Linked DNA regions of Notamacropus eugenii. The protein of the gene in region 1 interacts with the protein of each later gene in a pairwise test. Links are inferred from orthologs where the notes say so. Each region holds a gene or a part of one and is shown on either strand. Other genes may lie near its edges.

Region 1 (7,885 bases):
GTGTGGAAATTCCCTCCACTGATGCTGACCAGAGCAACTCACCTGAACCTTAGTCTTACATGGAAGTTGCCTGGGAGCCAGTCAATATATTAGAGGGAAGACTTAAGGTTGGGTCTGCCTGATTCCAAGACAGGCTCGTTACAGTTGCCTCTCAGGAGTCTAATGATGACTCATACTTAGCAAGCTCGCTTTATACCATGGGTGAATCAGTAAACTCCCCTGGTCAAGAGCCTGACAAGTGGCCAGTGGGTCCCTAGGGAGTCCACCAGGCCCCTCAGGCCTCTTGTCAAACCCACCAGGCCTGGTCCCACCCTCTCCTTAGTCCTGCCTGTTGATGTCATTTGTTGAAGGTGGCTGCCTTTACAGATCACAAGGACACCAAGGCCCCCTCAGCGGAGATTCCCTGGACTTCACGCTGTACCTTTCAACTCCTCAAAATGAAGCTCCCCCTCCATGTGGACACACTTCTGGATCACCAGCACCTAGAAAATTAAAGGCACACTTTGGCTGGGCTTCCCTTAGAGGGGCGCCCTGCCTGGCCCTCCCTGCCTGACTTGGCCTTGGGTCACTCCAGGGTCCCCTCCTCCTCTCGGGCCCTCGGCCCCCCCCACCCGGCCTCCCAGGGCCCCCTCCTCCTCTCAGGCACTTAGATCTGGACACCTGGCCTCGTGGATCCCCTGTCACGTCTCGGGACCCCTCATCCTCTCGGGCCCTCGGCCTCCCCACCCGGCCTCCCAGGGCCCCCTCCTCCTCTCGGGCCCTCGGCCCCCCCCCCACCCAGCCTCCCGGGGCCCCCTCCTCCTCTCAGGCACTTAGCCCCCCACACCTGGCCTCGTGGATCCCCTGCCACATCTCAAAGCTCCTCCTCCTCTCGGGCCCTCGGCCCCCCCCCCCCTCCCCCCGGCTTCCCGGGGCTCCCTCCTCCTCTCAGGCACTTAGATCCGGACACCTGGCCTCGTGGATCCCCTGTCACGTCTCGGGACCCCTCCTCCTCTCGGGCCCTCAGCCCCCCCACCCGGCTTCCCAGGGCCCCCTCCTCCTCTCGGGCCTTCAGCTCCCCCACCTGACCTCCCGGAGCCCCCTCCTCCTCTCAGGCACTTAGCCCCCCCACACCTGGCCTCGTGGATCCCCTGCCACATCTCAAAGCTCCTCCTCCTCTCGGACCCTCAGCCCCCCCACCCGGCCTCCCAGGGCCCCCTCCTCCTCTCGGGCCCTCAGCCCCCCCACCCGGCCTCCCGGGGCCCCCTCCTCCTCTCGGGCCCTCAGCCCCCCCACCTGACCTCCCGGAGCCCCCTCCTCCTCTCAGGCACTTAGCCCCCCACACCTGGCCTCGTGGATCCCCTGCCACATCTCAAAGCTCCTCCTCCTCTCGGACCCTCAGCCCCCCCACCCGGCCTCCCAGGGCCCCCTCCTCCTCTCGGGCCCTCAGCTCCCCCACCTGGCCTCCCGGAGCCCCCTCCTCCTCTCAGGCACTTAGCCCCCCACACCTGGCCTCGTGGATCCCCTGTCACGTCTCGGGACCCCTCCTCCTCTCGGGCCCTCAGCCCCCCCACCTGGCCTCCCGGGGCCCCCTCCTCCTCTCGGGCCCTCAGCCCCCCCACCTGACCTCCCGGAGCCCCCTCCTCCTCTCAGGCACTTAGGTCCGGACACCTGGCCTCGTGGATCCCCTGTCACGTCTCGGGACCCCTCCTCCTCTCGGGCCCTCAGCCCCCCCACCCGGCCTCCCAGGGCCCCCTCCTCCTCTCGGGCCTTCAGCTCCCCCACCTGGCCTCCCGGAGCCCCCTCCTCCTCTCAGGCACTTAGCCCCCCACACCTGGCCTCGTGGATCCCCTGTCACGTCTCGGGACCCCTCCTCCTCTCGGGCCCTCAGCCCCCCCACCTGGCCTCCCGGGGCCCCCTCCTCCTCTCGGGCCCTCAGCCCCCCCACCTGACCTCCCGGAGCCCCCTCCTCCTCTCAGGCACTTAGATCCGGACACCTGGCCTCGTGGATCCCCTGTCACGTCTCGGGACCCCTCCTCCTCTCGGGCCCTCAGCCCCCCCACCTGGCCTCCCGGGGCCCCCTCCTCCTCTCGGGCCCTCAGCCCCCCCACCTGACCTCCCGGAGCCCCCTCCTCCTCTCAGGCACTTAGATCCGGACACCTGGCCTCGTGGATCCCCTGTCACGTCTCGGGACCCCTCCTCCTCTCGGGCCCTCAGCCCCCCCACCCGGCCTCCCAGGGCCCCCTCCTCCTCTCAGGCCCTCGGCCCCCCAACCTGGCCTCGTGGATCCCCTGCCGCATCTCAAAGCTCCTCCTCCTCTCGGGCACTTAGCCCCCCCACCCAGCCTCCCAGGGCCCCCTCCTCCTCTCGGGCCCTCAGCCCCCCCACCCGGCCTCCCAGGGCCCCCTCCTCCTCTCGGGCCCTCAGCCCCCCCACCCGGCCTCCCGGGGCCCCCTCCTCCTCTCAGGCCCTCAGCCCCCCCACCTGACCTCCCGGAGCCCCCTCCTCCTCTCAGGCACTTAGCCCCCCACACCTGGCCTCGTGGATCCCCTGCTGGGTCTTGGGGCCCCTCCTCCTCTCGGGCCCTCAGCCCCCCCACCTGGCCTCCCAGGGCCCCCTCCTCCTCTCGGGCCCTCAGCCCCCCCACCCGGCCTCCCGGGGCCCCCCTCCTCCTCTCAGGCCCTCAGCCCCCCCACCTGACCTCCCGGAGCCCCCTCCTCCTCTCAGGCACTTAGCCCCCCACACCTGGCCTCGTGGATCCCCTGCTGGGTCTTGGGGCCCCTCCTCCTCTCAGGCCCTCAGCCCCCCCACCCGGCCTCCCGGGCCCCCTCCTCCCCTTGGACCTCGCCGCCCCTTGGGACCCACGAACCTAGTGACAGAAGAGGACGTACGCGCCCCAGCAAGCGGAGGCCTCGAAGGGACAAGGCCCTCCAAGTCAGCGGCCCAGGAAAGCGAGCGAGCTGAAGGAGGGTCCCGCCCAGCGCCCTGGGCTGCCGTCTCCTCAGTCACTGCCAAAGTTACTTTAGCTCGTTCTATTGGTGCCAGGTAACCTTTTGTTGGCGGATGCAGAAGAACGCGCAGTGATTGGGCGTTAAGGAGAGCATGCTGCTTCCTCATTGGTCAAGATGCCTCTACCCCCGCCTCTTTTCCCCAACAGGCAATTGGTGGAGAATCCTCCAATCAGGTCTCGTCTTTCTCCCTCTCTGAGGGCTCCGGTCTGGCTAAGCAGCCTGGAGGTCAAGTGGAAGGGCTAGGAGAATGGAGTGGGGGTGCTGGGAGGGGCACGTGGCCCAGAGCGGCTGCCCAGGAGCCACTGCCCCACACAGCCCTGGCCCGCAAGCCCTCCGTCTGCATACAGCCACCTTCCTGATACTCACCCCCTGACCAAGCTCCTATGAGCCCCCTCCCCCGCCCCCATAGCCCTGCCTCCTGGACGGCCCCTGGGCAGCCCCCAGGGCCTCAGAGGATTGGGGCAGAGGCTAGAGAGCTGAATTGAGTTAGGCTCCGGATCCCCAACCAGAAGGGCTTGGAGAAGCTCTGGAGACAAAGAGAGGCCACCCCATGATGTCAACAAGCCCAGGCACGACCCCCAGTTACTCCTCTGGAGGCTCCCAGAATTTCACTCCCTCCCTTCAGACTTTTTCCACTTGTGCATTCCTTCCTCCTCTCTCAATTCAAATCATGAGTATCTATGGAGCCTTAAGCCTATTCTAGTCAAGGCACAAAAGACCATTCTGCTCTGGAGAGCTATTACTGAAGGATCTGTCTGAAGGTCTGGAGGCCACCCTGCTGCTTCCCTTAATGTTCCATGGATCCCACTGGGCAGGAAGGTCCCAATCCCCTTCTCCTCCTCTTCTAGTCATAGATTTCCCAGCACACATACACTACACTGACTTTATAACCATCATACATTTTTCCATTGCACCTTTCAGGCATCTGCAACCAGAATTTGGGATTGGGATTCTTCTGAGATTTCGGGTTTACCGAGACTCATTTGAAGCTGTATATAGCCTTAGTGGGAGATTGGTGTTAAAGAGACTTTTGTGTATGGGAGCCAAGTGAGAGGGTTAAAAGCACTGTCACGTATATAGTGCTTGATGGAGCTTTCTGCAGCTCTTTAAATCAATCTCATTGGATCCAGCACCTGGCCAACCACAGTCCTGAGAGGTAGGTGTTATACTCATTTGATAGATAAAATAAAGGCCCAGAAAGATTTAGAGCTTTGGCCATGATCATAGACCGAGCTCCTAAGAAATAGAGAGTTAGAGCTGGGAAGGTTAGACTTTGCCAGGCTTAACAGTCCCTCTCGACTCAGAGCAACTTTCTCTACTCCTTCCTCACTCAGTTGTTGTGAAAGGGCCCCTAGCTGCCCAAGGCTCAGATTCTTGACTCTTCACAGGACAAAGATCATGTCACATGGTAGAATTTCACAGGGGTAAGCATACCACACACCTAGGGGAGAGGAAAGGGCAATGGGGGGGGGGGGGGGGGGGAATTGATGGAAGAGAAGAGCAGAAAAGAGCCAAGACTCTTTCTTGTGCCCTGAAGGATATCCTTCTAACTCGATTACAGGGTGACTGGAAAAGGGCAGTGGAGAATGTAAACTTTGCCAATCCCTTTGATTCTCTCTTCATTCTAAATACTGAAAGGAGCCAGGCTGGGGGGCGGAGGGGAGCAGGCCACACAGCACCTCATTCCCTTTTCATCACATTATCAGGTGGTCCTCACCTTGCAAATCTCAAGCTTCACATGGTTTTCACTTAACTAGAACCACTGAAGCCCTCCAAAGTTTGTGTCCTAAATCTGGGATCTTAATTTCCATGTTCAAGTATTTTCAGGTACTGACTCCAAGGCCTCCAAGGAGCTGGGTGATTCCTTTGGTCGAGTGATTGCAAACAGAGCTCCCAAACTGCAGAATTTGTAGGCACTGAGTTGGTATCATTGGAAAGGACCAAGAGAAGGGAAAAGTGTAGACAAAAGTGTGTTAGATGCTGTATGTCAGGTACTGTGCTAAGGGCTTTACAGATGTTATTTCACTGGATGCTTCCAGCAACCCTGTGAAGTAGTGGCTATTATTATGTCCACTTTACAGGTGAGGGAACTCGTAAACAGATGTTAACTAACTGGCCCGGGGTCACACTGGTAACCAAAGGTGAGTATGAATTTGAACTCCTGATTCCTGATTTTCCTGATTCCAGGCCCAGCACTCTACCCACTGTGTCATCAGCTGCTACCCATATGATACCCAGGCCATGGGTGGTCTGGCTATTCCCTAGCATAAACTGGCCTGGTGATGGGGAAGGAGGGATGTGGGAAGACCTCAGCATTACACGTGAAGCTATTGATGATGAAGTAGTTGGGGGCACAACTTGAGCTGAAAAAATGGAAGCAACTAAAAGAAATACAAGTCAATTCATGGCATTAGATCTGGCTAAAACCTTCTTCCCAACCTCTCAGCTCCAGGCTGAGAGCCTCCTCTCCTCCCATATGGCTCAAGAGCAGGAGAATCTTCAGCTGTGCTCCGATGTCACCCTTGAGCCAGCAGTCAGAACAGCCTTGGAGCAGCCCAGAGTGAGGAGGGTAGGCCAGAGACCCAAGTCACAAAAGAGCTGTCATCTCCTGCCTCCCCTTCAAAGAAAAGGCCCCAAGGCCCCAGCCCTCTGTGCTTGTCTGGAAGGCATTTCTTCCTCCATCTATTTGCCTCAGCCTTAAGCCATCTAGAACCCCCACACCAAGTTGCCCACATCTAAGCACAGCTGATTCCCTCCCTGGTTGGGGAGAACACAGTTCCAGGAACCAGGCAGCCTGAGAGGTAAGAAAAAAGGGAGTGGAAGAACCCAGAGAAGAGGATACACAGTTCCTGATTTTATTTTCCTCTGTTTAATTCAAAAAGCTCACAAAGTAGACTTCAGTAAAAAAGGTCAGACGAGAAACAGCAAAAGGTCAGTCCTTCAATCATAATAAATACAGTTCTGTTTAAGAACCTCCCCCTTACCCTTCCAGGCCTCATGACCCACCTGGCCCAACAGAGTCCAAATCCCCTACGTGTCGAGAAGACAAGTTGAGCAAGAACACAAAGACAGAGGCGATCTCCAGTGTTGTACCAACAGCATCGCTAGGCTGTCCGAGTCAGACAGAAGGGCCAACAGGGTGGCTGACTTCAGAAGTTTTGGCAGTCTTTGCAGGCTGGGGCATTGGCTCACTCTGACCCTCTAGGCTGTTCCGGATCCCATAGGTGAAGTAGATGGCAAACCCTGAGGGGAGGAAGAAAAGTGGCTGTGAGGTGGGAGAACAGAACCCAAGAGGCCTAAGAGGAACATGAAAAAAAAGTTGGAGGTCAGGTCCCTCCGTCCAAGGACAGATACTTACCAACCATCATCCAGATCCCAAATCGGGCCCAGGTGCCAGCCTTCATCTGCATCATGAGATAAACATTCACAAAAATGCTCAGCAGTGGGAGGACAGGCAGTGCAGGCACCTGAAGGAAGGGCACAATAAGAGGAACTCTCATGACTATGGAGGGTGCCAGGGAGAAAAACAAGATTCACTAAAATGATAAACACAAGATGGTAAAGCGGTGCTAGCATTGGCACACCATGGCTTCTCCTCGGTGCTTCTTCCCCTCAGAAGTCTCTTACCTTGAAGTGGAGATGAGTCGGGTTCTGGGGCTGCCTCCAGATGATGACAGTGGCCACAATGCCTAGCAACAGGAACAGGGCACTCACAGTAATCCAGGTGGGCTTCCCGGCCCTCAGCTGCTCTGACCAGTAGCCCAGCACCAAGCACAGGCCGGTTATCACCACAGCTGCAGGGTGAGAGAGGGAGAAGAAATCAGATCAAAGCAGACTGCATGCCAGGCCCAAATCAACCCATCTCTGGGGCCCTAGATACCCCATCCTGCTCTGCCCTGGTCCCCACTCCACTGCTCACCAAGAATCGATACAGCTACATAAACAATATGGCCAGAGAGCTGGGTGGGTGTAGAGTGGGATGGGCAGAGTAGGCTCAACAGGGTCAGGAGCTGATTCTCAGGCTCTCGCTCTTCCTTAACCTCCTGTGCCCACAGTTCCACAGGCTGATCCACCTTTGGCTGTGTTAGTTCATCAGGCTGGTACCTGGAGGCAGGAGGGAATCTGGTAACTAGCACCAGCACCTAGTTACTTTTCTCTCCTCCCCCTCCCCCCAGTATTTGGGGTTTCCTCTGTCACACACACACACCCCTTCTCCCCCAACCCCCACCGAGTAAAACCTTGGCTTGGGGCTGTAACAGCATGGGGAACAACGCCAGGTTTCCTCCTGGTGGGTCAGGATGAGAGAACAAGAATGCCAAATGGGGTGGGGGGCCCACCTGAGGATGAGAACACAAACGGCCACCAGGGAGTAGGCAAGCAGCGTCCCAATCGACATGAGGTCCACAAGATCAGCGAGCTCAAAAACAAACGCCATCAGGGCTAGGAGGGGGGAAGAGGAGAAAGCATTGGCCCACCTCCACAGCCGGGGAGGGTGGGAGGAGGCACCAGCATCTACAAGGTCTGAGAAGCAGGCTCACAAAGGGGAGGGAAGGCTAGGAGAGGCATGGATGGGAGGGAAGGGGAGGCAGGCAAGAAGGGATACACACCTGCAGTGATGCCCGAGACAATTGTGGCCACAAGAGGGGTGTGTGTCCGGGGATGGACTCGAGCAAAGGACCGAAACAGAAGGCCGTCCTCTGCCATAGCATAGATCACTCGAGGCATGGGGAACATGGAGCCCAGGAGGCTGGGGAGGGGGGGGGAAGGACAGAATCATAAGTACCTAGCATGGGCAAAGAACTGGACTGCCCCTCCCAAGCCTCTCTGTGGCAGCTCAGCACAGCTCTATCTGACTGTAAGTCATCCCTGACAGACAAGGTACACATTCAGCACTG
Region 2 (7,733 bases), on another chromosome or scaffold:
CTACAGGGCCAGACACATTGATGAACATGGATACATGGACGTATACACAGGTAAACAGATCTAGAGACAGATGCACCCACAGACATAAACACCCACAGACACACCCACAGACTAGAGACACACACAAACACACAGACATCCACATTAATCAGATACCCAGAATTAGACAGGCTGAAACAGAAGAGTTAATGCTTGGTGCCTTATTGGTGTAGGTTTACAACCATTTTTTTTATGGGGGGTGGGGGAGGCTCAGTCAAGTTCCCAGCATCTGGGAGGAGGGAAGGGGGACTGAGTCAGGCAACAATCACTCTTCTTAACCCAAGACTGTAGTCCAGCACCTGACTGCCTAATGAATCACCCCTGCCCCCACCCGTACCCCAAACACACACAAACACACACATACACATACACACTCCCCTTCCTCCCAGCATTTAGGCTAGGGCCTGGCCCTGCTCCGTCTCCTTGTCATATCCCTCTATCACCTCCTTGGCATCAAGTCCCCTGCCTCCCCAAGCCCTGGCTCCAGTCTCCTTCCACCCTCTTGGATCTGGGGATGCGGACAAGCCCTTCTCCATCAGTCCCAAGTGTTGGCTCACCCCCGAAGCATCAGTGGGAGAGGGTGGGGGTCGCGGGGGGGTGGTTGCAGGTTGAGTCCCTGGCTCCAGAGATCTCCCACTCAGTGCCCACCCTCTTACCTAGCCTGGCACTTGCCCCATCCCTCCCCATCCCCGTTCTCCTTGCTCATCCTGGGGCCTCTTCCTCCTGCATCCCTACATCTCCCCGGATTCTCTGGACCTGGCCTGCCCCATCTCCCGGCCCCGTGGTTCCCGTGCCCTCCTCCACCTCTCCCCTCGTCCGGATCCCCTGCGCCTCTCAGCTCCCCTTCCTCCACCCAACACCCCTCCCTGCCCAGCCAAGTCCCCCCAGTTTCCCCATTGCCCCCGTACCTGGCCTGCCAGGCGCCGGCCCCCCCATGCCGGGCGGAGCCCGGAGCAGGAGGAGGAGGAGGGAGGAAGGGAGAGAGAGACAGAGAGATCAGGGGGAGCGGAGCTCGGGCCTGCCGCAGAGACAGCCCCGCCTCCAGGCCCGCCCCCAGACCCGCCCCTCCACGCGGGCCGGGGCAGCGGCGGGAGCTGGGGCGCTGAAGGGAGACTGAGGCGTGGAGGCGCGGGCCGCGAGTGGATGGGCAAGGGTGAGCGGGGCGGAGAAGCCCGGAGACGGCGAGGGGCCGGCCCCGGCGCCGGGGCCTTCGAGCGGCCGCTTGTCTTCAGGGCTTCGCTTGACCCGCTCCTCCGCCGACCCGGGAACCTAAGTTTGTGGCCCCAGCCGCGACCACCTCGGGCTGCGTGCGGCTCGGGCGCCCCGGTGCGCCTTGGCGCGGGGGGCCCCCTGGTGGCCGCGTGCGGACCTGCAGCCGCCGGCCCAGCCCTCTTCACTCCTTGTCTATTTCACAGCCCCCTCCAGCCCGGGAGCCGCCAGGAATGTGTGCTGGCCCTGCCAGGGAGGGGAAGCTTACTGAGGGGATCCCCGGCCCCCCTTGGCTCCTCTGTGAAGCAAGGGGCTTGGACAAGGTGTTCTCAAGGCCCTTTCCGGCCCTAACATCTTGCGGTTTGGAGTTGGGGATCTTGCAAGTTTCAGGGCTCCCCCCAAGGCAGGCCAGCCGGGGGTGGGGCGCTGTAGTTAGATGGAGAGACCAGTAGGGGTAAGCAGGCTTCTTTTCTGAGAGACAAAAGAGACCGGCCCAAGACAGACAGATGGCTGTACGAATAGACAAACACACCTCTCCAGCAGGAGGGGCTGTTCGCCTTCTAGGTCTCCTGAAGAGGAGAAGGCTGGGGGGAGCTGGCTTCATCCTTAACCCATCGACTTTCCTTTCCTGCTGTACCTGGCGTCCTAAAAACCTGGACCTTGCTTCTCCGTAACCCTCGGCACCCCGGAATAGCACGAGCTCTCATCCTAGGACTCGTGCAAGGATTACTTTGGGGGGCAAGTCAGTGGTCCCTGATCATGTTAATTACCGCCACTGATCGCAGCACTTAGCGTCTGTCTCTATGAAGTAAATTCCAAAACCGTGAAGACCTATCCACCTCCCCAATCCCTACCCTCACCCACCTCCTAGAAATCTGAGATCCCACAATTGGTGATTTATTCTTTTGCCTTTAGGTCTTAACTTCTGTTAAAATACCCTTAGGCACAGTGAAGTTCCTAGAGAGGAGAGAAAGCATATCTATCTCTTCCCTCTCAGCAGAGAGGTGAGATTTCTAGGACAGAGTATTGTATATATTCTCAGGTAAAGTTTCCGTATCAGTTTTCCCTTCATTGTTTTTCTTTGTCACAAGGGAGGGTGTAGTGGGGGTGGGGAGGGAGGGAATAATGATGATGCAAAGACCAAGTGATCAATAAAATGAGTTCTCAAAATAATCATGAAATAAAACATGCCTGGAAGATATAACACTATTGTAATAGAATATAAGCCCTTTGAGGACAGGAACTGTTGTGTTTTTCATCTTTGTTTCCTCAACGCCTAGAACTGGGCACTTTAGTAAATAAATATTTGTTGAATTGGATGAGTTTGTAAACTGAAAACAGTTTTTTGGGGGAAAATAAAGGGAAGATAGTGATGGGGGGGGCAGAGAACCCCAGGGTTTAAAGCGATAGTTTTCTTACTTGGCTATTGTTTCTAGGACTAGTTACAATCATAATTATCCAAAAGCATTTCCTGAAAAAATTTGGATTTATTTGAATTTATGCCTTTATATTGAGATGGGTGCTTAAATACTGTGACTGCATGCAGGGAATACTGTGGGTGTGGTACTGGAAGAGCACTGTGCCAAAGAGAGGGGTAATTGACACTATGAGAGGCATATAACAGTTATTCTAGGAAGTATAGAGTAGGATCTGTGGGGGCCTTGCTTCCAGGGCCTTACAGGAGAAGGGAAGGAAACAAGCCACAGTCCAGATTTCTTTTAGCAAACAGAAACACACATACATATATGGACACATACATGTATGTGTGTATGTATGCATATAAATATAATACATGTCAGTTGCATCTTACACTTTGTGACTGACCCTATTGGGGATTTTCCTGGCAAAGATACTGGAGTGTTTGTCATTTCCTTCACCTGCTCCTTTTGCAGATGAGGAACTGAGGGAAATAGGGTTAAGTGACTTGCCCAGGGTCATGTAGCTAATAAGTTTCTGAGGCCAAATTTGAACTCAGGAAGAAGTCTTCCTGACTTCAGGCCCAGAGTTCTATCTACTGTGCTACCTAGCTGCCCACATCTATATGATGCAGTATTTTGTGTGTGTATACACATGTGCATATGTACATATACACATATGCATCTATGTATATATATACAATATTAGAAATGCTGTCAAGAATTTGAAGGGGAGAGTTCACTGGATCATGTCTATTAAACCGAAAGGAATCTTAGAGCTTATTGAGACCAACCCCCTCATTTTACAGTTGAAGAAACTGAGGTCCAGAGAGGTGAAGTGATTTGCCCAAGGTTGTATGGCTAATAAGTATATGAGGTAGGTATCAAGGATCTTTCTTGATAAGATTTGTCTAGGGAGGACTGGAAGTCACTCCAAAGATCAGTCAATCAAGATTTATTAAGTGCCTTGTTAAGCCTTAGGAATACAAAAAGAGGCAAAAAATATTCTCTTGAAAATATTCAAGGAGTTCACAATTTAATGGGGGAGAACAACCTCCCCCCGGAAAGAGGGGATAGTAACTTCCCTTGAACTCAGGAAAGTGAAAGGATACTTAAAACTACTATCCTCTGAATGTTTTGAGGGGGAGGAAGGGGAGAGGAGAGCGGGGAGTATAGTATAGAAATTACAAAGTATGCTTTGGGACATTTTTGCTGTCCAAAAGTGGAACAGGCTGTTTTACTTGTTGTGTGACCATGGCCAAGTGACTTAAACTTCTTGAGCCCTAGTTTCCTTATCTGTAAAATGGAAATAATAACCTGTAAAGCCTATCTCACAGATGTCATGAGAATGCTTTTGCAAACCTTGAAGTCATATATAAAAGCTAACAATGATTATAGAGTAGCTTTAAATGGCAATGAATTTGTTAGAATGGAAGTTCTCCATGAGGCATGATGGGACCTTGACCTCTGAGGTCCTTTCAGATTCTGAGAACCTAGAAATCTATGAAATCTCTTTATGCTAAATGGCCTGTCCTTGAATTTCTTTGGGAGAAGCAAGGTGGTAGGGTCGTAAAATGAGAAAATAGGAATTTGGATTCTTTCTAAGAGGAGTTGTGTGTGTATCTCTGTGCACAGATATTTATGTGTATGTATACATATGTATATATATGTATGTATGTATGAGTATCTGTGAGGGCATCTGTGAATCTTTGTTTACCTGTTCATATTTCTACAAATGTGCTGAGTCCAAAGATATATATATACACATACATACATACATATATATAATACATACGTGTGTGTATGAATAAATATCCTCTGTGTCAGTTCACGTATATGGACATTTATCCGTGTCCCCGTGTAACTGCAAGGGAATTGATCTTTCTTCCAACCCAATCTTGACTCCCTAAAGTACTGGGAAGAGCCTACCTCACCAGGCAGGTGTGGGGTTAAGAGGACCCCAGTGTTTGGGGCCCCCTCTATGAGCCACAGTAGTTCTGGAGTAGGGCCAGCTGGCAGAGAGCCCCTAGAGGAGGGCGGGCAGGCGGGAGAGAGTGAGAGAGAGGAAGAAGGGAAGGAGGAGGAGTAGAACAGCAGTCAGCAGGGCTGAGGAGGCAGGACTTCCTGGTGTGGGGGTTGTCAACAGCTCAGAGAGAGAGAGACAGACAGACAGAGACAGAGAGGAGCTAGGGAAATTGAGAAAAAGAGACAAGAGTCCAAGAGAGAAGAGCTGGAGACAAGAGAGAGACACATGCTCGATGAGAGAGACAGAGAGACAGAAAGAGAGAGAGAGAGAGCGCGCGAGCGCGCTCCACTGTCAGAAGGGAAAAGATTCCAGAGAGAGTAGCCCTCGGCTTCTCTCCGACCAGCTGTGCTTTCAGACCTAAAGGCCCTTCACCACCATAAAGGCCATATTCCTCTGGGACTGAAAGCAGTGCTTATTATTTTTTGGAAAACAAAGTTGCTGTGGAGATGACTTGTGGGTCAAGGAAAGGCCTCTACGGACTGTACTGCCTGTGACCACCACCCACCTCCTCCCTTTTCTTGGAGCTTAGGCTGGGAGGCCCCACTCTCCTGCTCTCCTGTGGACAGTCTGTTGGGGCATCTTATGCTGCCAGGATCCCCAGGTCAGGTTTCTCGAGTTGCTCTGGGGAAATTTAGAGGTGGGATTGTAGGGGGGTGTGTGTGGTGTGTGTGTGTGTGTGTGTGTGTGTGTGTGTTTGTAGGGGTGTGTGTGTGTGTGTGTGTGTGTGTGTGTGTGTGTGAATTTAGAGGTGGGATTGTAGGGTGTGTGTGTGTGTGTGTGTGTGTGTGTGTGTGAATTTAGGGGTGGGATTGTAGGGGTGTGTGTGTGTGTGTAGGGGGGTGTGTGTGTGTGTGCGTGTGAATTTAGAGGTGGGATTGTAGGTGTGTGTGTGTGTGTGTGTGTGTGTGTGTGTGTGTGAATTTAGGGGTGGGATTGTAGGGGTGTGTGTGTGTGTGTTTGTAGGGGTGTGTGTGTGTGTGTGTGTGTGTGTGTGTGTGTGTGTGTGTGTGTGTGTGAATTTAGGGGTGGGATTGTAGGGGGGTGTGTGTGCGCACGCATGTGCCCAGTTGGGGTAGCCGAGGATTAAGGAGAAGTTTTAGCACCCCATAGATTCTGAAATGGGTGCTAGTAGCACTGAAGGGAAGCTCTCCTCTCCCCTCCACCCCAAGGTAGACTAGGGTGTGAAAGCCCATGCCAGACCAGAGCTGTGAAGTGGTGAGCTCACCTCCCTTTCCTGTAGACCCAGATTCCTTGCTACATCTCGAACTTGGGACTTGGCTTGTCTCTTTCTGCACAGTACCAATAATAACCCATGTAATCTGTTTGTTTTGTCTTTACTTCCTCCAGCTCCTTGTCTCTACCTCATTCTGTTTCCCATTCTTTTTTTTTCTTCTACCTCTTGTGGTTCCTCTATCTCTCTCTGGTGGTTTCCCTCGTTTCTCCCCCACCCTGATCTCCACTGCTCTCCCCACAGAGGAAGCACCCAGAGTGTCTTACTCCCATAACACCTACTCCCTCCCCCAGTGACTCTCTAATTTTTTTCCTCCTAGTTTGCAAGTTCAGCTCTGGAGTCCAACAGCGGCAGCAGCAGCAGCAGCAGCAGCAGCAGCACTGGCAGCAGCAGCCAAAGGAAAGCCTGCCCATCCTCCAACTCCCACAACTTCTCTCCCTGCTATTCCTCAATTTCAGAGGCGGCCCCAGTTCCTTGAACTCTCCCAGCTATGTTGGACCCCGATGTTGCCAGGGGCCCTGATCCCACAGCTATATGGCCTCCTAGTGCCAGGGGCGCCTGAGCGCTGCCTGGAGAGAGGCCTCTCCTCTTCGTGCAGCTCCTGTCCCATTTCCGAGGGACCATGAGCGGGGGTAAGAAGAAGAGTAGTTTCCAGATCACCAGTGTCACCACAGACTATGAAGGTCCTGGGGGATCTGGGGGAAGTGACTCCCCTACAGCTATGGTTCCCACCTTACCCACACCTCGTCTTCCCAATGGCGAGCCTAGCTCAGAGCCGGGAGGCAAAGGGACCCCTCGAAATGGCTCTCCACCTCCCGGGGCCCCAGCGTCACGTTTCCGGGTAGTGAAACTTCCCCAAGGACTGGGGGAACCATATCGCCGAGGGCGCTGGACATGTGTGGACATTTATGAGAGGGACTTGGAAGCCCCAGGACTCAGCCGGCTCCTGGAGGGAGTTCGGGGAGCCACTGGAGGGACTGGTGGTCGCTCTTTGGATTCTAGGCTAGAGTTGTCCAGTTTGGGCCTGGTTCCCCCAAGCCCCCAACCTCAAGGCCCAACCAACTGGCTGCGTCCACCCCCAACTTCCCCTGGCCTTCAAGCCCGATCTTTCACTGGGGGACTAGCTCAGCTGGCAGGGGGCAAGGGGAGGGCTGAAACACCACCTCTTCCAGCTTCCCCACCCCAGCAGCACCCCCCGGAGCCCAGCGATGGGGACAGTACAGGGGTACTGGTACCACATGCCTCAACCCAGGTGCCCACCCTTAGGGTAGAGGCCGAGGTGGGGGCCCCAGCAGTGACTCCTCCAACCACCCGAAAGAAGGATGGAGCCTTTTGGCTGAGGAAAGAGGGGGAGGAACGAGGCCAGGTAAGAGGCAAGGGTGGGAGGGGTGCACGAAAAGGGGGTCTCTCTGCAACTTAATTTTCTTCCTTGGACTTGTGTTAGTCTCATGCCTTGTCCCAGTTCCTTCCTGGACTTCAGGTTCCCCTTTATATCTATTCTGTCCTCCTCAGTTTTTCTTTTTTTGTACCTCAACTCTCCCATCCTTATATTTGACTCTTCCAGTCCCTAATACTTCTCTATGAACCTGAATTTCCATCCCTTCTCTCAATTCCATTTCTCCCTCTTTTGCTCTCTTCCCCTTCTCTTAAGTTTCTTTCTCACTTTTATTTCAGTGTTGTGTATCTCTTTTGTCCCTCCGTATCTTTCTGTTTCTCCATCTGTTCTTCTGAATTATATAGTTTTCTCTGGACAAAAGTTTCAGAAATGGAGGAGACTGATTGATAACACTAGGCTCTGTAGGGGAGGGTGTGA
Region 3 (6,886 bases), on another chromosome or scaffold:
ACAGTTCATTCTGTTTAGGTGACAGCAATGGATACAGCAGAAAGCCATTGCCTGATAAGTCACTCAAATTGCCTGCCTCTAAGAATGGCCACAGGCTCATATGCAAAAAACTTTCAACTCATTACTAAGTACTAACTCACCATCCCCAGCAAATTTTTAGCATCATTTTCAAATTGCAGAAAATTCAACTTGCATCTAATTCTGAAGGTCAAAGATGATCAACACAAGCAAGGACTTCACAATTTCCCTATAATCACAATGAACAAGGGGAGGGAATCCCATAATTTTTATTCCCTCACCAAATCTGACATCTAAGTGCAATACAAGAGAAATACATCGCCATTTTGTGCCATTGAATACAAAGCATTTCATGCACTTGGAAAACTCAAATGTAAAGTATGTACACTTTTGGCTCCTTCTGTGCAATCTGCTTGCTAAATGGCAAAAGAGACCTTCCAGGAAACAAAAACCCACCAATTAACTTGGTCAAGCAAAACTGGAAATTTAGAAAGGAAGCAACTAGTCTGCTATAGGAAGAGGAGATTCTGTCAGACAGTTTGATGTGAAGGTATAAGTGGATCAGGGATGGGGTCGGTATCTTGACTGGGGTAGAGGAAGGGACACACTGACAAATGGGGAAGGATAACATAGGGAGGAAGGGAAAAGAAAGTTCAAAGAGTATAAGAAATGTTGATGAAGAAGGAGATTTTAACATTAGTATACAACCAGTCAGATTAGTTTTCATCAGAGTGATTACTTTTTCCCCCTCTTTTACAGCTTTGCTTGACCAAGTCAATTGGTGAACTTTGTTTCCTGAAGGTCTCTTTTGCCTTTAAGCAAGTTGTAGATGGATGGGGCTGGGAGAAGACAGCTAGAGTTAGTAAGATGGAATGAGGCTAGCAGTCCGAAGGAAGAGGCATGGTAACTCACATTTTCTATCATGAATGCTTAAAGATTTACAAAGTGCATGTCTGTCAACAATCCTGTGAAGAAAGTGCTATATGTATTTAATCATCTCATTTTACAGGTGAAAGCACTAACAGAGGTTGGTAGGAAAGACTTGGAAAGGGGGCTTAGGTGGGGTGAAGACTTGGAGAGGCAGAGTTATAAAAATAATAGCTACCATTCATAATATGGGTTTACTAATTATTTCTCTCAAAACAACTTATTGAAGTAAGTACAACAATTACCGTTATCCCAGAGTACCTACCTCCTGGTTAGCCTATGGAGAAAAGAAAACTTAGCACCCTATCTAAGATAGGTAGCTGTTTTCAAGTATTTGAAGGTCTATGACCTGGAAGAGATATTGTATTTTTTCCATTTGGTCCTAGAAGGCAGAAGTAGGAGAAATGATGGATGTAGTGAGAAACAGACTTAGTCTTGATGTAAGGGAAAGCTTCCTAACAACTAGACCTATTCACAAGTGGAATGGGCTGCCTCAGGAATTAGTGGGTCCCCTCTCACTGGAGGTCTTCATGTGGAGGCTGGATGCTGAAGACGCCATAGAGAAGATTCTTGTTTAGATGTAATGGGTGCTTCCATCCCCTAGATTCTGTGATCCCCATTTTACAGCTGAGGAAACTGAAGCTCAGATGGGTTAAGGGATGTCACTTTGTGGCATTGCTAGAAAGGATGAGAAGCAGGATTTAAATCCAGATCACTCCACAGTCCAGCTTGTGCTCTTTATACTGTACCACTGGTGGAGAGGGCAGGCAAGGAATGGAGATGGAGATAAGAGAAGAGGTAGAGGATCTCAGAGACAGAGTTGGAAGGAAGAGAGATGGACGTGGGAGAAGAGAGATACAGGAATAGGCTAGGAATAGAGGGAGAGGAAGCAACAGAGTTGGACCTGGGATGAGGAAGAATGGAGTTTTGAGGAAAAAGAACAAGGTTGAGACTTAGGAGGGCTATGGGATAGGCTCAAATGAGAATTTATATAAATACCTTTACAAAAGGCTGTGTAAATGTCAATTATTAGTGTTAATGGATGGGGGAACGAAGATGGGAAAGAGGGAAGAAGCTAGGAAATAGGGATGGGGTTGAGGGAAAGAATGCACTGAATGGGAATGCATGGAGAAAGGGCTGCTGCTGGAAGAAGGAATGGGAATGAAGCCGGGAACTGCAGCTGGGGGGTAGAGATGGACCTCGGGGCTGGAAGATGTTCTGGATGGGAAGGGAAAGGTGTGGGAGATGGTTCTGGGAGAAGGGATGGGGGTCTGTAGAGAGAGCTGACTTTAGGCTACGAAAAAAGATGGGAGTTGGAGGAAGAGGGTTGAGGTTGGGGGGTGGGGGTGGAGTAGGAGATTGACCTGAGAGAACGGATGGGAGTTGGTAGAGAGGACTGAGGCTGGGGGTAAGCCTCGAGAGAAAAGATGAAGCCTATTTTGAATTTTATATCATGTTTCAGGGTATTCTCAATTTGAGAGGAGAGGACTGGAGGGGGAAGGAGATCGGTCTGAAAGAAGGGAAAAAAGTGGGGCTGAGGGCTGCATCTAGATGGTCGTGGGAGGATAAGATTGATTGGGGGAGAAGTCTACAGCTAGAGGTGGGAGACAGGTTGGGAGAAGGGATGGGTGGCGCAGAAAAAGACTTGGAGGAGGGATGCAGCTTGGGTAAAGGGAGGTGGAGCTGGAAGAAGGATAACGTCGGCAGCTGGAGGGGGAAGGTGGAGCTGGAAGCTGGGCTGGGCTGGAGAGGTACAGGGAATGGGCTGTGGGAGGCAAAGAATTGGGACTGGGCCCAGCTGGGGATGCTAGCTGCCCTTAGAAAAGGTGAGGAGTGGGAGTAGGCGTGCCGAGGCCCAGCTGGAGCTGGGCTGTTCCTCACCCTGGGGTCGCTGAAGGAGAAACCCGGCAGGAGGGGCAGCCCGTGCACAGGCTTGGACATCATCGCCACAGCCGCTGCCGCCTTCTAGAGCCCAGCTTCTGTCTATCCCGTTGCCCTGGCGACTGGAACTCGCACGAGGGCTGTGCAACCATGGCAACGCCAAACATTCGCAGGGCACTGAACAGTAGCAGACAGAACGGGGAATGACGTATCTGCGCCTGTGCATTCCGGTGGTGGCGTCCTCTTTGCACCCTTGTGAACCCCTTGAATAGGCGACCTTGCAGCAGTATGAGAGTGTTTTCTGATGCTGGATGCTCCGCACCAGTGACAGCATGGTGGGGTGGGGGGTGGGGGGATGGCCTTCTGCACGGAATTATGACATTTAGAGGAGTTGGATTTCCTTTCTTTTCTTTTTTAAAATTTTGATTATGAACTTAATAAGCTGTAAACATTTCAGTACACAAAGAAGAAAAGCAGAGAATTGTATGGGACACAATGAACTTCTGTTACGCAGTTTAAGAGTGTAGTAAATTTAGAATAGTAATGACAAAATTTCCCTGTTTGACTTGGTTCATTTTTTTTTTTAAGTTTTATTGATGTGTTTTGGTTTTACATTTACAGATCACTCCCACTCAGTGAGAGGCCTCCATAACAAAGAAATACAGTTAATTACACTAATAAAATAGTGACTTCATCTAAGTGTGCACATTTCACATCTGTAGCACTACCACCCCCATTAAAAAAAAATATTTTCTCTAAAAAAGAAAAATTTATTATGACAAATATGCATAGTCAAGTAAAATAAATTCCTTCAATGGTATACACAATATAGATGTAGATATAATTATATCTCATTTGGCATCCTAAATCTGTCACCTCTCTGTAATGAATAAACATTTCATCACGTGTCCCCTGGAATCATTAAGGGTCATTGTATTGATCATAATACAGCTTTCAAGGTTGAGCTTTACAGCGTTCTCACACAAAATTGTTCTCCTGGTTCCACTCATTTCATTATCAGTTTATTAAGTCCTCAAAATTGTTTTTGTAATTGTGATGTTATAAGTTGTCCTGGTGCTGCTTCCTTTATTCTGCATTAATTCATAAAAGTTTTTCTATGTCTCTTGAAATCATATATTTCCTCATTTTGTTCAACACAGCAGTATTCCATCATGGTGATCTATCACAATATATTCAGCCATTTCCACAGTTAATGGACTTCTTAGTTTCTATTAAATATTTTTGTTTATATATAAAAGTTATTTTCTTCTTTCTTTGATCTCTTTTGGGTATAGACCTAGAAGTGGTATAGCTGGGTCAAAAGGCAATCAATAGCTTTTCCCTCTGTCTCCCACTCCCATCCCACCTTTCCTTTTTGCTTCCTGTTACTAACTCCACATTCTTTTCTATCACAGCATTTCTGAAATGTGGCAAAAAGTTTAAGAAGCCCTGCTCTATTATAACTTTTCTTAAGAAGTGATGATGATAAAACAGCATTAAGTTTGTTGCCTTTTAAGTTTACCCATATTGTGTTGCAAACAACCACTAATACAATCTTTTCCCCATCTGTGAGAGTATCTACATGTTCACAGGTGACAAAACCTGAAGTCAAAAAAAATTTATCTCTAATGTTGATATTTGAAGGCATCAACCAACCATGGGGTAAAGGATGAGACTTTGTCCAGGGTTCCTGAAATTATATGAGTAGGTGAAGGCATATGTATTCTGCCTGTTTCTCATGTTATCCTGAGGTAATTGTCCTGCCTTTTTTTTTCTGAGCAAGAGGTTTGTTACCAAGTTGTGCACCTATATTTTTAAATGGTATTTGGGGCAGTTTCAACCTGTTGTTCTTAATCTCCCAGAAAAGGGGGGTGGGGAAAGAGAAGAAATTACTCTCTAAACTAGAGCACAGTGGGTTTTCAGTTGAATGAGAACTAAATTCCTGATGGTGAAAATTGATTTTGTGACTGGCTACTGAGGGAGGTTGATGGATGCTGTTTCACATTGGCTAGGTTGGAGGAAGGAGAGAAGGACCTTGTGGCGAATAGATTTTGATCTTGTCTGATCCACTTAATAACCTATTACACTCTTAAGTACACAATCAATAAATAGCATTTATTGATTGTGTACTATACATACATACATACACACATATACAAAATAAATAAGAAACAGATGTTAAGTATTGGAGGTAAGTGGGAGGGAGATTCAGGAGCAGGGAGGATCAGGAAAAGCTTCTTGCAGAAACTGATTCATAAGCTGAGATTTGAAGGAAACTACATATTCTAAGAGACAATGGTAAGCATGGAGACAAAAAAATGGAGTCCTTTATAATGAAGAATAAGAAGGCTAGTTTGGCTAGTCTAGGGTACCAGAATGAAAGTAATATATAATGAGACAAGAAAGATACTTTGGAGCCGGGTTGTAAAGGGTTTTAAACTCCAGAGGAGTTTATGTTTGATCCTAAGGCAAGGGTTGTTAACATTTTTTGTGTTCATCATGGACCCCTTTAGCGGTCTGGGGAAGCCTATAGACTCCTCATAATGTTTCTAAATGCATAAAATGAAATACATGAAAGTATAAAATATACAATTATGTTAAAATACAGTTATCAAAAAATTTTGTACCAAAAAAACCTCACAGATTTCAGATTTAGGGCCATTGTCCAAGAGGTAAATAAATAAACTGAACTTTATTGAAAAGAGGATTGACATGGTCAGTGCTATCCTTCTGGCATAACACTTTGGTAGCTGTGTGCCAGATGGATTGGAGAGAGAAGAGACTTGAGGGAAGGAGACCTATTAGGAGTCTACTGAGCAGGGAGGGGGGAGTTGAGAGAATAAGCATTTATATAGCATCTCCTATGTGTCACAGGTAATGAGGGTTTGTGAGTAGGGAGTGTGTGAGTGAGTGAGGACCTCTGAGTAGGAAGAAGAGGTTGTATGTTTGAGATATTGCGGATGAAGAAGCAACAAGTTTAGGCAAATGATTGATATGTAGGTTAGGAGAGAGTGAGAAATTGTGGATAACACGGAGGTGGCCAACCTAGTAATGGGAAAGATGGTGATTCCCCCTTTCTCTTCTACTACACTGCTTTTGGATTTCATTGGACCTTTCTACCATGCCTTCCCTTTTCAGGGTTTTCATTATCCTGAAAGATTGAATCTGCCTGGTACTCACATTTTTTGGCCCCTCTAATTGGACACTCTTGGCTATAGGTCAAGGCCATAGGCTGTAAGGCTTTTATTTAAGAAAAGGGTTCAATGTATTCTTCTCCCTATTTCCCACCAGCTACACTGCTTTTGGTGCTTTTGGACTTCTCTGGACTTCTCCTTCATTCCCCAGCACCTGGGTACCTCCCCTCCCTCCTCTTCTCCCTGTCATCTTCCTTTTGTGTGTTTTGGACATACTAAATTTGAGTTATCTGTGGGACATCTATGTCCAAAAGGCAGTCAGTGTTTTGGGACTGGAACTCATGAGAGAAACCAGGTCAACCTCAGGAAGATGTACATTCAAGGCTTGGGAGATAGTCTGCGTAAAGTTATAGAGATGTCAGATGGAATGTCATTTAAAGGAAACACCAAACATGGTAATTTCACAAGAATGTAGAATATGTGTAGGATGATAATATGCACTAAACCTAAAAAGGTAGGCTGGAACCAGATTGTGAAGGGCTTGAAAAGCCAAACACAGGAGTTTGTTTTTTATATTATATGCAAGAGGTAGCCATGGGTATTTCTTGAACAGGAGAGTAACCAGGTCAGACCTGTGTTTAAATTTCATATCCAGGTCCTCAACTCCAAATCTAGTAACTTATTAACTTTGTATGTTATAAATCTTAAACAGTTTTACTGCCCTCCTCCAAGGAATTAGAAATCACCCCATAAATGGGTAGGGCACAAGGTATGCCACTTCATTAAGACTTTTGGTAGATTCTTTAGTCTGTTCCTTGGCTAATTAGGGAGAAAGTGGAGGCAGAGCCTGGAAAGGGTGAGTCATCCTCATGGTCGTTATCCATTGTGGCACTGTCTTCTATTTAAGGAATGACCTATGTTCAGAT
Region 4 (6,975 bases), on another chromosome or scaffold:
TCCCACTTGGGCTGGCCTATGCTATGCTACAAAATGGCTATTGTCACTACGTTACCAGGGAAGCAACATATGGATAGTATATTTCTTCTCACCTTGAAAAGATGACAGTATAGGGTCCCATTATTTCCATCTTTAAATTCCATTTTAGAACTAATCCCACAAGCACCCTGAGAGTGCCCCCTTGAAAACTCCAGGATTTTGGAAGCTGTTTGGATAATCAGGAAACTCCCAAAATAAATATAGGGTTCCTAGTCAAATTTTTAAAAAGGTCTTAAGCACTGCCTGAGTTAAAAGGGTGCTTTTTATCCTCAAACTAGCGGATGGACCCTAGTCTTCAGGAATATGGTCATATAAAAGCAGCTGCTATTCTTTTACACACTAAAGACCTTTCCTAGAATCCCTGCTTACTTAGATCACAACTTCACTCTTTTTGGTCAAAGGGGCACAAACTTTACTAAAGTCTTTGCATCATTGAAACATGGGTTTCCAAGATCTGTATTAAATTCTCCCTGAATCAGAAAGCTGCAGCTTCCACAGAACTTTCTAGGTTCTACAGCAAAAATGGAACAAGCATCACACCACTTGCTGACTAAGCTCCCTTTATAAAGTCCTCCAAATTCCACCATTATCAGCCATCACATTCGGGCTAGAGACACATTTATAAATGTTGATCATTTCCAAGCTACCTGACTCAGATCTACACAGCATTTTTAAGGATAACCCAACATTCATAAAAAATCCAATCTAGATAAGTAAGTCAACAAGATCATAAGACCACAGAGCTAGAACTAGAAGAGACCTCAGAAAACATCTCGTTCAACCCCTTCAATTTACACATATGGATACTGAGGCTTAAGGAAGTGTAAGTGATTGAGTCAAAGGTCCCACAAAGTTGAGTCAGTAGGGATCAAATCTATATTTATACCAACTACAGCAAACTGCACGGAGGGCTACAAATCCCTGAACTACAGCAGCATGGAAACCTGGGGTCAGTTTCAATCCAGGGCAGTTTCTTTGCTAGAATACAGTGGGTTGTTTACCCACTGACTAAGTCCAAGTAAGGTTCTCCTGAGGCACAGGGATCTGAACAGAGCTCTCTTAAAACTCTACCACACTGGATAGTAGAGCACTAAATCACTGGCTGCCAGGTTTGCTCAACCAATGAAGAGATGCAGGCAAAGCAATAAAATGTAGCTGTCTCAAAACGACTCTCCCTGTGGCAAGTCCTGTACTTCACAGAGCTGTTGTGTTTACAGGACTAATAACACACAAAAACCTAATCTGATCCGGGGAATTGAAGCTCTGGTTTCCCTCAGGGATCAAACTTCACTCTACTTTGGCCTTCCCAAGATTGTGGAGTCCAGCAAATGTGTCCAGCACATGAACCAGAACGCAAAAAAACCCAAAAACACCAGAAGAAATGGAAAGGACTAACTTCAAGGCTGAACTCCCAAGATCCTTTTACAGCCAGAGATGTTGCCCATTCGGCACCGTCCCTCCTCCAGGCTTTGAAATGAAATAATTACTATACTTTGATGGTAAGAAGAGCAAGGGGGCTACCTCCAGTTTCTGATGGGCATCAACTTCATTATGCCAGCAGAAACCAGGCAGACCCCTTAACTTTTTCCTCTTGTTCATAATTTCTAATAAAAGCTGACCAGTTTTGTTCATGCTTTAGCATAAATAAATCTGCCCAGAGCTCTGGGGATGTTACCCAGGAGAGCACCTGAAATCCAAGCCAAACCCCCAGGCTAAATGTTTCCATAATCCTCTTCCTGCTCCACGAATTCTCACCTGCTCCTCAGCAGCCCTCTGGGAGGACTCAGCATTAGTCACAACCCTGTTTCTAAACAGGCACACAAGCTACCCACGTCCCCTCCCAGGAAGGGAAACTGAGTCACAACAGGGCCAGTAGCTTACCCAAGCATGATCAATCTGTGGAGAGGCTATGACTGGAAATCAGGGAAATTACCCCACTTAAGTGTTCTGATCCCTTCAGTCTCACGGCCTGCCCCCCGCCCCGGACCCCCCAAGCTCCACCAAGGGAACCGAATCTCACCTTGGTGCTGATGTCCTCCCTCCGGGTGCCAGCCTTGCTCCTGCGCAGTTTTATGGAGGGGGACCTGAGCAGGTTCTTGATCCGGCTGGTTATGGTGGAGCCCTCCACAGACATCATGGCGAGGGACCCCAAAGGGCGCAGGGGCTCAGGCGGATCCCCGGCCTCGGCACGCGCTCCTCATTCCATGGGGTCTTCCGATCTGCCCCAGCACCGACCTAGACGGGAGGGAGTCACTACATCAGCCCGGCCCGGCCCAGGCTCCGAGGTTCTTTCCGGGCTACCCCCCGGGCCCCCCCGGGCTGCTCACACGGCCAGGAACGACGACCGGGAGGGGAAGGGGAGAAGCCCCGAAATCGGCGGGTGGGGAGGGGCGAGACGTCAGGCCCACCCTCCGTCCGCGCGATCCGGGGGCGCGGGGGGACTGGCCCGGAGGGAGCGGGGAGATTCCCTCCAATGTTCCCATGGCAACGCGCGGCAGGGGGTGGCCTGAGGGGGCAGCGGAGCCGGGAGCCACAGCCGGGAGACCCCGGTCCCAGCCGCTCTCACCTCGGTCTCCACTTTCCACCCCCCCTCCGCCCCCTCCCCCAGGCTTCTCCAAAATCTCCGGCCTCCGGTCCTCCGCGCCACACACACACCCCCCGTCCGGGGCCCCGCCTCACCAGCCCCGGGAGCCGGAGACCGTCCGGTTCGCAGGTCCCCCGGGCATCGCGCTTGCAACTCCAGCTTCGCCGCAACTGCGGCTCCAGGCAGCTACGGCGGCACGGACGGCTCAAAACGCGAACGACGGCCGCGGCCGCGACTCCCTCCGAGGGTTAGGAGGCCGGCCGGCCGAGCAGGGGCGGAGCCAGCGGGGAGAGGGGAGGAGCCAGCGGGGAGAGGCGGGGCCACCGGGAGAGGGGAGGAGCCAACGGGGAGAGGCAAGGAGCCAGCGGGGAGAGGGGAGGAGCCAGCGGGGAGAGGCGGGGCCACCGGGAGAGGGGAGGAGCCAACGGGGAGAGGCAAGGAGCCAGCGGGGAGAGGGGAGGAGCCAACGGGGAGAGGCGGGGCCACAGGGAGGGGGGAGGAGCCAACGGGGAGAGGCAAGGAGCCAGCGGGGAGAGGGGAGGAGCCAACGGGGAGAGGCGGGGCCAGCGGGAGAGGCCCGGTCTTCCCCAGGACGGGGAGGAGAGGGAGGAGTGGCAGAAGCGGAGTTGGAGAGAAGAGGCTTGAAAGGGCAGAGGAGAGAGACTGGACCCGGGAGGAACGTGAACGAACCGATCCTGGGGAGTCTGGCATCGGAGAATGCGAGAGTGGGAAGGGCCCTTAAAAGTCCATCTGGGCACATGCTCTTATTTTTATAGGGAAGGAAACAGGCCTAGGGACGTAGGTGGGTCCGTCTGGGATCTGAACGATACGCCCTGCTGGGCACTGAGGTCCGTTAGCTTACACGTAGGACCCACCTCCCCTCTTCCCCTCACCACCCGCGAAGAATGCCGCGCGTGGAGGGGCAGAACTGGTCCCCAGGCGCGGAAGAAGCTGAAACTGGGCGTCCAGTTGCCAAAGGGAGCTTCGTGGAGTCCTTGGCTTCTGGCCTGGGGGGCTCAGTCTTAGTGGGCACGGAGGAGGTTCCGCACCCCGCGTGTCTTGTCCTTAGATTTACAAGAGCTGTTTCCCTGTCTCCAATCACCTGTGGCTGGCTGGGAGATTTAATTGTCCTACCCAACTACCTAGATAGGCCTGGATCAGTCTAGGGGTCCCTGTACCTAGAACTTGGCAGGGAGAGGGTACAAGGACTGGCCAACAAAAAAAAGAATGCTATTAGGCCCTGCTAGGCTGCTTCCTCTTCTCCTTCTCATAAGATTTACTCTAGGCAAAATTAATCACGATTTGGTTTCAGAGGTTCCAAAGTGGGTGATACTGCTTCTCTATGGGCACTGGAACGATCCTGGGAGGGGGCAGTAGCAGCAGTTGGGGGGGAGGGGTAAGTAAAAGTAAAGGGGCTGTGGAAGCTTAAGGAAAGAAGAAAATTTTGAAAAACCTTTCGTCCATGTTTCCTCTGTTGTGTAATAGTTAAAGTTGTAGTGATTACATTATTTTCCAAATAAACACACAAAATTCAAGTTATAACCTCTCAGTCATCAAATCCTTTGACAGGTCTTAACAAGCAAGTGTTGGCAGGTGAGGGTATCATGAATTGTCCCAGAAGTGAGCATATGCATTGGCAGGAATATGTGCATGTAATGACTAGTTTTTAATACTATTATATAGTTCATCAAAATTTCTATGCAGGAAAACCCCACAAATTTACAATAAATTATTAAATTTAAGATGCATCATTTTTAAAACAATTATTTTATATTTTTTGAATTGATGCAATTTTTTTTAGAAAACCATTAAAGGATTAAAGAAAGTAGATTTTTAGGGCAATGCTGAGTTTTTTCATTTTTTTTAAAGGGAGCAGTGGGTCAAAAAAGTTTGGGAACCTCAGAGTTAAATCAAGGAACACGCATTTATTAAGCATATTATATGCCAAGTACTGGATTGAAGACAAAAGGAAAAGGGAGGGGATCATATGGATAGATGGCGTCATGGAAACAACAAACATGAACTTGGACAGACTTCAAGAGAAGGGCCTGGTATGTTATGGTCTGTGGGAGTCACAGAGAGTCAACAGGATTGAACAGCAACATGTCAAGTATGGAGATAAAAACCAAATATAAACACAAAAGAGAGACAATAGAGAAGCTGGTCAGTGAGCCAGGAAGACCTGCCTCTGTCATACTGGTGATGTGACCCAAGAGCAAGTCCATGTCTCCCCTGCTCTCTCAGACTATCAGTTGTAGAGGAGACTTCCTAAAGAAGGCAGCACTTGAAGGAAATTAGATTCCTTAAAGTTTGAAGTAAGGATGAAAAACCAAAGGCATTTATTAAACACTTTACTTTGTTCCAAGCACTGAGCGAAGCCCTCAAGGAAACAAATTTTAATGGAAGAAGTAACAAACACAGGAAAGTGTTGACAAGGGAGGGACTTTTTGGTACGGAAACTATAGGGATGGTACATGGAGACATGAGGGAGTAGATTGATATACCCTTTCTAGGAGTAATAATGAGTTGATTTGCTTTTCATTCCAGAATTGGTAAAGTGAGGCAAGATTGCCTGTCCTAGACATAGTGGGCAATTGAGGCAACCACCAACTAGCAATCACTCTCCAAGGCAAGAGATCCAGGCACGAAAGGATCAAGTCCTTCAGGGTTTGATTTCTGAGCTGGACTACATGGTGGCCTGCATATTGGCCTAGGGAGTAAAGTAAATGGAAGGCATTCCAGGAATAGTCTGTAAAGGCACAGAAAGAGATGGAATGGTGTATCTAGGAAATATAGAAGTAATATTTTTTGGTTGAAGTGGAGAGTTTGTAAAGAGGGACAGGAATTGTCTGGAAAGAATATGGATGTATAGGAAACTCACCATATTTTAAAAAGATATGGTCAGAAGATGCTAAATAGGAAGGCAGCAGAATAAATATAAGATCATGGCATAGCATGGTCCCATAAAGTCCTAGTAGTAGTGTTCAATCTCAGAATGAGCTGAGGCAGGTTCAAAAAGATAAAGAGAGCAAAAAGATGAGAGTTTTTTGCTTATTTTTTTAAATAACTATTGTAGAGAAAGAGGAAGTATAGTGGGTAAGACTTCTGGTTGGGGTGGATGGGAACTGACAACAAAAGTAGAGCTACTCAATACTTCTTTTGTTTATCTGCTAAGTAGAACGATCTTTGTACTGGAAATAACAAAACAAAAAAACTAACCAAAAGCTGATACCCATGGGGATAGAGTAAAAGGTCTGGAATATATGAATTACATATTCAGGTACTGAAAGAATTGGTGGATGTGATTTCTGAAGCATCATGGAAAACAGGAGAAGGTACCATGGCCTGAGAGAAAGGCAAATGCCTTGATTTAAAAAAAAAAAAAAAGTTGAGAATAGTCACTATGTACCAGTGAACTTGACTTCAGTTACTGGGAAAAATATAAAACAAAAAGATGTTTAATGAAAATCCAGAAAAGGAAGCAGTGATTACAAAGAGTTAATGTGGCTTTAAGGTGATGCCAAATTAATTTCCTTTTTTTATGCTGTTTCTAAACTTATGGGCAGCTAGGTGGAGCAAAGGATGGAATCCTAGTACAAATCCAGTCTCAGCTGTGTGATCCCAGGCAACCTATTTATTCCTGTTTGCTTCAGTTTCTCATCTATAAAGTGAGCTGGAGAAGAAAATGGCAAACCACTCCAGTATTTCTGCCAGAAAAAAAACCAACTCCCTAAAACAAATAGGGGAATGAAGACAGACATGACTGAATGTGTGAGTACGTGTGTAGTTAGTTTATTTACCAAGTCTTAACTCAAATATTTCACAAAGAAACAAAACACCTCATATTATTTTTTGGGGAGAAAATGGAAAGATTAATCAATAAAACAACGAGATGGATTCAGAACAGATTAAATGGCTGGATTCAAACCACAGTCAATAATAGTCAAATACCTACTTGGTAGGAAGTCTAGTGGAGTGCCCTAGGGTTATGTGTTTGCCCCTATGCTGTTTAACATTCTTATCAATGACTGTTTAAGGTAGAGAGATGGAATGGTTGTTAAATTTGAAGATGAAACAAAGTTGGGGTTCATTAACAAATTGGTTGACTGTCACATCCAAAAGATCTTGTAAGTGTAAAGTTTTACCATTGGTTCAAATTTCAACACGAATATAGGATAGGGATAGCCTGAAAAAAAGGTTGAGATGTTTTAATGCACTGCTAATATGAGTCAACACTATGATGTGGCAGCAAAAACGCTAATGTAATCTTAGGCTTAACGAGCATAGCTGTCAGTCATAAGGAGGTGATTTTTTTCCCCATACCTTGCTCTGCTCAGACCACATCTATAGTT

Evidence for each region.
Region 2: the proteins of TEX11 (region 1) and TSC22D4 interact in a two-hybrid assay, tested with the Homo sapiens proteins (2 studies listed by BioGRID and IntAct). The two-hybrid records come from large-scale screens. The link is inferred for Notamacropus eugenii from reciprocal best matches to the Homo sapiens genes TEX11 and TSC22D4.
Region 3: the proteins of TEX11 (region 1) and EFHC1 interact in binary tests that used the Homo sapiens proteins (3 or more experiments, as listed by UniProt). The two-hybrid records come from large-scale screens. The link is inferred for Notamacropus eugenii from reciprocal best matches to the Homo sapiens genes TEX11 and EFHC1.
Region 4: the proteins of TEX11 (region 1) and MAPKBP1 interact in binary tests that used the Homo sapiens proteins (3 or more experiments, as listed by UniProt). The two-hybrid records come from large-scale screens. The link is inferred for Notamacropus eugenii from reciprocal best matches to the Homo sapiens genes TEX11 and MAPKBP1.

What each region holds. Positions count from the first base shown.
Region 1 is NC_092879.1:100,227,662-100,235,546, reverse strand, and holds the start of TEX11 (testis-expressed protein 11), read right to left. Parts: upstream 3,009-7,885; 5' UTR 2,849-3,008; intron 483-2,848; 5' UTR 456-482; coding exon 422-455; intron 1-421. Other genes in the region: SLC7A3 (cationic amino acid transporter 3), read right to left, coding at 6,109-6,233, 6,349-6,457, 6,618-6,784, 6,910-7,094, 7,328-7,430, 7,598-7,737. UniProt on the Homo sapiens protein: Regulator of crossing-over during meiosis. Involved in initiation and/or maintenance of chromosome synapsis and formation of crossovers.
Region 2 is NC_092873.1:80,327,284-80,335,016, forward strand, and holds the start of TSC22D4 (TSC22 domain family protein 4), read left to right. Parts: upstream 1-4,726; 5' UTR 4,727-5,290; intron 5,291-6,239; 5' UTR 6,240-6,542; coding exon 6,543-7,286; intron 7,287-7,733.
Region 3 is NC_092873.1:118,739,793-118,746,678, reverse strand, and holds the start of EFHC1 (EF-hand domain-containing protein 1), read right to left. Parts: upstream 3,010-6,886; 5' UTR 2,890-3,009; coding exon 2,827-2,889; intron 1-2,826. UniProt on the Homo sapiens protein: Microtubule inner protein (MIP) part of the dynein-decorated doublet microtubules (DMTs) in cilia axoneme, which is required for motile cilia beating.
Region 4 is NC_092878.1:27,979,499-27,986,473, reverse strand, and holds the start of MAPKBP1 (mitogen-activated protein kinase-binding protein 1), read right to left. Parts: upstream 3,010-6,975; 5' UTR 2,719-3,009; intron 2,275-2,718; 5' UTR 2,177-2,274; coding exon 2,060-2,176; intron 1-2,059. UniProt on the Homo sapiens protein: Negative regulator of NOD2 function. It down-regulates NOD2-induced processes such as activation of NF-kappa-B signaling, IL8 secretion and antibacterial response. Involved in JNK signaling pathway.